2 linked regions of the Stegostoma tigrinum genome follow. The protein of the gene in region 2 binds, or shares a complex with, the protein of the main gene of each other region. Links are inferred from orthologs where the notes say so. Each region holds a gene or a part of one and is shown on either strand. Other genes may lie near its edges.

What was found.
Region 1: the proteins of guanine nucleotide-binding protein G(i) subunit alpha-2 (region 2) and P2Y purinoceptor 12-like are in contact, whole or in part, in a cryo-EM structure (PDB 7XXI), measured with the Homo sapiens proteins. The link is inferred for Stegostoma tigrinum from reciprocal best matches to the Homo sapiens genes GNAI2 and P2RY12. Residues at the interface, in NP_002061.1 of Homo sapiens: Arg24, Glu28, Ala31, Arg32, Leu195, Glu319, Ile320, Tyr321, Phe335, Phe337, Asp338, Ala339, Thr341, Asp342, Ile344, Ile345, Lys346, Asn348, Leu349, Lys350, Asp351, Cys352, Gly353, Leu354, Phe355; in NP_073625.1 of Homo sapiens: Phe59, Asp121, Arg122, Lys125, Thr126, Pro129, Phe130, Thr132, Asn134, Pro135, Ile212, Leu216, Ser219, Tyr220, Arg222, Thr223, Arg224, Val234, Lys237, Ile241, Leu301, Cys302, Lys303.

The regions. Positions count from the first base shown.
Region 1 is NC_081367.1:65,974,588-65,978,339, forward strand, and holds the start of P2Y purinoceptor 12-like, read left to right. Parts: upstream 1-1,431; 5' UTR 1,432-1,599; intron 1,600-3,752. UniProt on the Homo sapiens protein: Receptor for ADP and ATP coupled to G-proteins that inhibit the adenylyl cyclase second messenger system. Not activated by UDP and UTP. Required for normal platelet aggregation and blood coagulation.
Region 2 is NC_081364.1:15,213,591-15,217,342, reverse strand, and holds the start of guanine nucleotide-binding protein G(i) subunit alpha-2, read left to right. Parts: upstream 1-1,013; 5' UTR 1,014-1,356; coding exon 1,357-1,474; intron 1,475-2,445; exon of another isoform or gene 2,446-2,605; intron 2,606-3,752. UniProt on the Homo sapiens protein: Guanine nucleotide-binding proteins (G proteins) are involved as modulators or transducers in various transmembrane signaling systems.

The DNA of each region.
Region 1 (3,752 bases), on a different chromosome or scaffold from region 2:
TAGGTCATCAATAAGTCAGGATAAGCAAGGTTCCCAATGTTGCACTCTCCCCCCACCCTCCGAAACAACTCTGTAAATTTCAGATTACCTCACCACATCCTCAACTCCCACTCCCTCGGAATATGGAGCTCAATGTGTTGCAAGACCCTATCTGTGTTACTGTGCAGATTTAAGTGTTACAAACAGGGAAGGGTTTTGTGGCACGGTGGTTACTTCTGAGCCAGGAGACCTAGGTTCAAGTCCCACCTGCTCTAAGGGTGTGTAATACTATCAATGAACAGACTGATGAGAAAACATCTTGCAGATAGGGACCCCAATGGTCTTTCTGGGCTGTAATACAATTTTGGTCTCCAAATTTGGAGGCAGTTCAGTGGGGATTTTCTAGATTGATTCGAGAGAGTAGGAGTTTGTTTTACGAAGAGAGATTGAACGGTTTAGGCCTATACTCTCTGATGTTTACAAGAATGAGATATCTAACTGATGTATAAGATGCCAAAGGAGACTGACTAAATAAGGGTGGAAAGGATGTTTCCCCTTGTGGGGCAATCCAACACGAAAGGTCATAAATTTAGGGTAAAGGGTGGCGGACTTAAATCAAAGGTAAGGAGGAATTATCATTCTCAAAGGGTTGTGAATCTGTGGAATTCACTACCCCAGGATGCGGTGAATGCGGTGACATGGAGTAAATTTAGGAAGCAGATAGACAGCTTTTTAATTAGTAACGGGTCAAAGGGTTATGGAGATCGGTGGAGAACTGGAATTGAGGCCAAGACGAGATCAGCCACAATGTACCAAATGGTGCAGGCAGGCTGAAGGAACTGAATGGCCCACTCCTGCTCCTAGCTCTTACAGTCTAATCAAACATCAGTGTTTGGCTGGGATGCAAAGAAAGCTACAGCACCGATTTCCTAGGATCCAGTCTCTCCCAAATTTGCACAGCCAGAGTTCAAAATGAAGGCGAGCAACTTTGCTGATTTCTGTCGTCTTTAACTTTGGGATGGGTACAATCGTGGCAAGATCACTGACTCATAACAGACTGGAGAGAAGCAGCATGCATTTAACAGGTAGTCATTAATCCCAATGTTGTTTTTTTTTTAAAAAACACTGATTCAATGGTCACATTATAAAACCATAATAAAATAATTTAATTACTATTTTGTTACTGTTTCTGCAGTAGTGCTACCGATCTTTATCTGTACAGTGATCGTAAGCTGTCACTTGAGGTCAAGCAGCAGAGACCAAGAACTGCATTCTATGTGAAACAATGCCCTCAAAAGACAGAATCTGGTGGTGAAGTGGAGTTTGTAGACTGTCAGTGATAATTCCGGAGTTTAAAATTAAATACAGCAATGACCAATATTTCCAGCTCAGGACAGCAGGCAACAGGAGGGAAATATTTTTATCGTGAACTACATAAGCAGAATAGAAAGCAGAAGCGGTGACAAAGCTGCAATTCAGAAAGCAATGGGCCTTTGTTTCCGACAGATGAATACAAGTACAATCCCTCAGAGAGAACACATGCTCATTCTGAAACACGGAGGTCAGATTCCACGACACTTCCAACCTCATCATCGAGGAACCGAGGGCAAAGCAAAGCAGGTAACAAATTCAAATCTTCACTTACAGAAATCTAGGACAGGGTCAGCAGAAGCATTTGGTGAAAAGATTAATCAAATCTGTAAATTGACAGCATGACTTTTTAGGTGAAGCAGTCACCAACAATGGCAAATAAAAACCAAAAGAACTGCAGATGCTGTAAATCAGGAACAAAAACAAAGTTGCTGGAAAAGCTCAGCAGTTCTGGCAGCATCCGTGAAGGATAGCACAGAGTTAGCGTTTCGGGTTGGGTTCTGAGGAAGGGCCACCGGACCCGAAGTGTTAACTCTGTTTTCTCCTTCACAGATGCTGCCAGACCTGCTGAGCTTTTCCAGCAACTTTCTTTTTGTACCAACAATGGCAAATCCTGGCTAAACATTTGTAATTGTTATGGTAATAATTATTGTCACATTAATTTTTATTTTGTTATATGGTTGCAAATTTTTCCCTTTCCACTTTTTGAGAACAGGTCATTATTTGTACGAAGTCCACCAAGGACTAATGTATTTTGGAAGGGTGCACTGAAAGCTCCAAGTTTAAACACAATGTTTTTGAAAAAAGGAAGTGTAGACAGCCAAACGATTGAAACAAAATAATGGCAATAATTACTGGGATAACGAAGTGTGGAGCTGGATGAACACAGCAGGCCAAGCAGCATCTCAGGAGCACAGGAGCACAACACAGGAGCTCTCTGATGAAGGGTCTAGGCCCGAAACGTCAGCTTTTGTGCTCCTGAGATGCTGCTTGGCCTGCTGTGTTCATCCAGCTCCACACTTTGTTATCTTGGATCCTCCAGCATCTGCAGTTCCCATTATCTCTGATGCAATAATTACTGGGTTGACTTACCAAAACAAAATAGCTAAGAAATATTCCTCCTGAATATATTTGAGGTTAACAAGGTGAGGTTCGGTAACTGAATGTGTATAAACGCCAAGGAAGAACAAGGCAACTACCAGCCTGCACCGAACTTCAAATTTCGACATGCAAATTTACTGCACAACTGTGCAATCTTGTACTAATTTATTTGCAATCTATTATCTGCAACTTCCTGCTAATGGTGTGTACATAGATAACGCAGCTTCATCCAGCCTCATTTCAAAATCAGAAATGTTTTGCTCAAATTATCTGTCTTCTCTTTTTCATTTGATCGATGTAATACTTTTCCGTACTTCATTCGTAAGAGGGTCACTGCAAAGTGTTTTGAAAGAAATCATTTGTCATAACCTGGACAATGACACAGTTGACAAATTTTGCTTTGCACACAACTTTCAGAATTAATATACCCTCCTTCTTCATTCGCAATTGCATCTTGTTTCTCTGATTGAATCATACGAATCCTGCAGATTTTACATACGGTTTTGTCAACAAACATTAGAATTCTACTCACTTCCACTAATCCTCAAAAACTTCAAACCTGAAGTGCATTGTAGGTTTTCAGTCAGTGTTATACCAGTGAGTGCCCTTTGGTTCACTCCATTTAGGGTGCCTGTACTTTTTCCCCATTGAAAAGGTTAAAACACAGCATGAATCGGATTCCTACAGAACCACTTAAAAATACAAATGAATACATTATAATTTCCAAGGCGAGGGAATAATTTTTCCCTCCTTGTTAGTTTTAGTGGGAAAACTAAACAGATGTGCATCTTGTCCATCTGGCTCCAACACCATGACAGAGAAACCTGTTCCAGCTCAGCAGGAGGTAGCTGTCTTTTACAGACGGATGTGTATCAGTAAATGGACAGGAGCATCACAATAAAGTGTGAATGCCTGTTCAGTCGTAATGGAGGAAGTTTCCTCATCGTGCTTTTCACTATCTCAGAAAGCCCCAATACACTTTGCAACCAACGAAGGGCTTTTTGAAGTGTAGTCACTATTGCAACACAAGAACAGCAGCAGTCAATTTGTGCGCAGCAAGCCCCTGCAAACAGCACTGACAAGTGTGGCTCGAACTGGTTCCAAAGGTGAAAAAATGCGTGGCAAAGGGATGAGAAACTAACTGTTGGACCATACCCACCAAGAGTGCACCAGTTGTTTCTGGAGACTCTCAGACAGCCCATCCTGTCAAAGTCTGATCCCGTGTTTGCCCCACCAACCGTCGAAGCTATAAAGTCACCAGCAGTTACAGTGCAGCATCCACCATGCACAGATGCTGGGAC
Region 2 (3,752 bases):
ATGTGGTAGAGGCAGGTTCATTTGAAGAATTCAGGAAGGTATTGGATGATTATTTGGATAGAAATGGTGTGCAGGAATAAGGGGGAAAATTAGCAGATTAGCACTAGGTAATAGAAACAGAGCAGGCATGGTGGGCCGAATGGTCTGATTCTACACTTGAACAATTCTGTGAAGCTCACTTTGTAAGTGCAAGTTCTTCTTAAGCAAATCGTCACCTTCTTAATTCATTTCAACGCAGCTTGTTCTTTCTCGGCAGAAGCGACCATCATCTTTATTGCTTATAAACATAAATGTAACAGTTGTCCCGGACGTCCATTCGGTAGTTGGTCTTTTAAACGTTTTTATTTTGTTTTTATATAATCCAAGAGAAAGTCATCAGTAGTTGGTTACATTTCAAACGGGTGACGATTGCGTGTACTTTTTCCTGAATAGACATGTCAGTGCCTGTATTGTGGTGCTTCTGTACTGTTTCCATCCGTGTGATTCCTGGGTTATTTTTGCTAAATTTAACACAGCCGGTGAACTCGGGATTGGTTCATTCTTGGGGATTTCGTCTCCTTCCGGCCGTCAGAACCCTGTTGGTGTAGCAACAAGTCACTCGAATAGCTGCAGAATAAATAACATTGTGTCACTGAAGAGAAAGGGTAATGAATGCTAAACACTGTAAAACACGAAAAGTGAAACGAGGGTTGAGCAGCGTGCACAGAATTTTAAGCAAAATGATGTATTTACTGTCGGAATCAACAGCAGGCAGTGAAACAATTAGCGGATGCTACTTGTCTTTTGAAAACTATAATAGAAATACCAGATTTCCAGCGACATTAACCAGTATTTGCAGCAAAAACGCTGCTGTCAATCATGTTACCTGGGAGGCGTTGCAGGGGCGAGAGGTATGCGGGGGATTGTAGTTCCCCGGCCCCGTGTGAAACTGGTTGGGTGTGGAAGTAAGGAACTACATTTCCCGTTCAGCATCGCGGCGAGCTCACGCCTTGTGCCTGTGCCATCCGGGTGCCTGTGCGCTCTGAGCCGGGCTGGGGTGTGGTGGAGTGGCAGAGTGCTACGGGCACGCAGCTCTTCCCCGCAGTCACAGGGGCTTAGTGAATTGCTGAGTGCAAACAAAAAAAAATCATCAGCCACCCGAGCCGGAATCTAAATCTCTTCAATACGCTTCTTTTTGCATTCCAACTCAGCCTAAACAAAACAACGTCCTATATATCTGCATAAAGTTTCTTTTGGCGACGTCGTCTGGACCTTTCTCTAGAGGACTTAGAAGCTGAAATTTGAAAGGAGGGTGAGAACTTCTTTGTCGAACATCCACACACAACAAAAAGAGAATTGAATCGACTTCAACTGACAATGGGTTGTACCATCAGCGCTGAGGACAAGGCGGCTGCCGAGCGATCGAAAATGATTGATAAGAATCTCCGGGAGGACGGAGAGAAAGCGGCTCGAGAAGTGAAGTTGTTACTTTTGGGTAAGTTGGGTCTCAGTTTGTATGTTTCTGTCTATTGGTCTATATGTGTACTCCTCGGGCTGGGTTATATTAACGTTACACTTTAACCACAGCGAGAGAAGGGAGTGCGAGTGAAGGATTGAAGTGTGAACGCTCTGTAACTTTTTCACAGTCAAAATGACAAACTGAGTGGAACAGACCGCGATTTATTGTGTGTTTAATCTCTTCCCTGAACAAAACGCTCTTACTTCCTTCGAAGGGAGTAGGAGGAAAGGGTGACAAAAATAACGGAAGTTGCATGAAGCAAGGTATTTTCAACAGCAGGCCCTACTTGAACATTTAGAAGGAGAATATTGTAGATGAAGTTGAATAGCTTGTTTCCAAGGAATGCATTTGGCCGTTCCTGTATTTAATGTCTCAAATTGTACTCCGGCACCTCAATGATAATGCTCCCAAGCGTTCTTGATTATTGGGGTTGATTTAAATTAACTCTTTCCCCCCCCCCCCCATGAAATTGGAGACATTGCTTCCTGCATGCACTTTAAAACAATCGTAGCAATGCCTTTCTTTTTGAAGAGAAATCCGTCTTTTAAAGTAAATGAAGGGTCGTTTTAATTCTTCTAATATTTGTTCAATTCCACAATTTTCCCACCGAATTTGAGTGATTTCAACAGAGAATGAACTCTCGAGATGCGCAGATGTCGTCAGGGTTTAGATGACAATCTCTGCTGCAATTTTTTTTTCTCTTTTGTGAACTTCGACGATGAGTTCGAGCCTATTGACGTAGGGTTCAGACGGAAAAAGGGAAGGAAGGGCTGTGGAGAAGAATTGAGGGAAGGCAGGGCCCCACATCTGCATACAACCCAAGAGCAGCCTCCGCCTGTACCGTTGTCCTGTGTGTAGGATCAATCGGAGAGATCACAGTGTTTAGAACAGGGAAGGAGGGGACAGGGATCCGCTGGGAATGATAGTTAGCGGCTGACCGTGATTAATAAGCATCTCTCCAGCTTATTCACAACTGCAGGCTGCCTGCAGTGCCCTGTTGCTTTCGCCTGCTTATTTAATTGCACATCCAGCAAAATTAATGCTATACATGTCCCCAATTACACGGGGACAAAAACACATCGAAAAGTGATGCCGTCGGCCAGAGAGGTATGCTTGTTAAAGGATTATATAACCGCAAAGTGCAGGCTTTCATACCATGAAGCGCGCGGGACAGTGAAACCGTTCATTTCAGTGGCTTGCAATTACATAGCGCCTGCAATATAAACTTAGGCGGCATCAGCAACGGAGGAAGAATAAACGCATAAGTAGTCTCCAGCCAAGATAACCTTTTGAAATGGAGGCTGCTCAGAGGTTTGTGGAAGCCTGGACATGATTTTGGGAGGTTACACTCTTCCAGGCTTGAATCTAAACATTAACTCAAGGATCCTTTGGGCTTTCTAACAGAAACAGATCATGGAGCTTTAATTACTCAGACTTTGAGAAAAATACGCCTTTTGGGTGTGGAACCAGCTTCAGAGGATGAGGTGACATTTGTGGTGTTGTAGCATTCTGTATAATTTCCTGTTGTGAACAATTTATCTGGTCGTGTTTGCATTCACTGTTGTCACAAAAAAGTAAGAAAAAGCCTGAGATGTGAGGAATGAACAATTGATGCTATATGAGGGATGAAGACTTGTTATTCCCATGTAAGGACTCTCCTATGCTGTATTGTTCTAAAATATTTTCAATTTTGAATACAGCAGTGCAAAATGTATTTTGCTATTGCCTTGAAAAATGAGACCAAATGAGATTGAAGTGCAAAGGAATTCAGGGGTACGCATCACAAATATGCATAAAGCAGCAAAGTCATTTAAACAAAAAAGTGGCTATCATTTTTGGAGAAGTAGAATTCAAAGGTATGCATATTCTGGTCTCCAGAATACAAAAATGATCGAGATGTACACTGGTAAAATTTCGTCAGGACTAACGATCCCTGAGAAGAGATCATGAGCAGCAATGATGGAGTAGCCTGGACTTCTGCACTGAAAAATAGAAATGTGAGACGACCATAAATAAAATTTATGAAGGGTTATGTTAAAGTTGACATAAACATATTTTCCATTGTGGGTGAGTCCAAAATTAGTGGCTGTAGATATAAAATGGTCACTAAAAATACCATTGAGGAATTGAGGAGAAACAACTTCGCCAAAGGAGTGGTTAGAATTTGGAACCTGTGAGAGAAATTTAATAGAGTCGGATGAGATAATGTAAAGTAGGAGAAAGCTTGTGTGGAGCATAAACACCAACATGGACC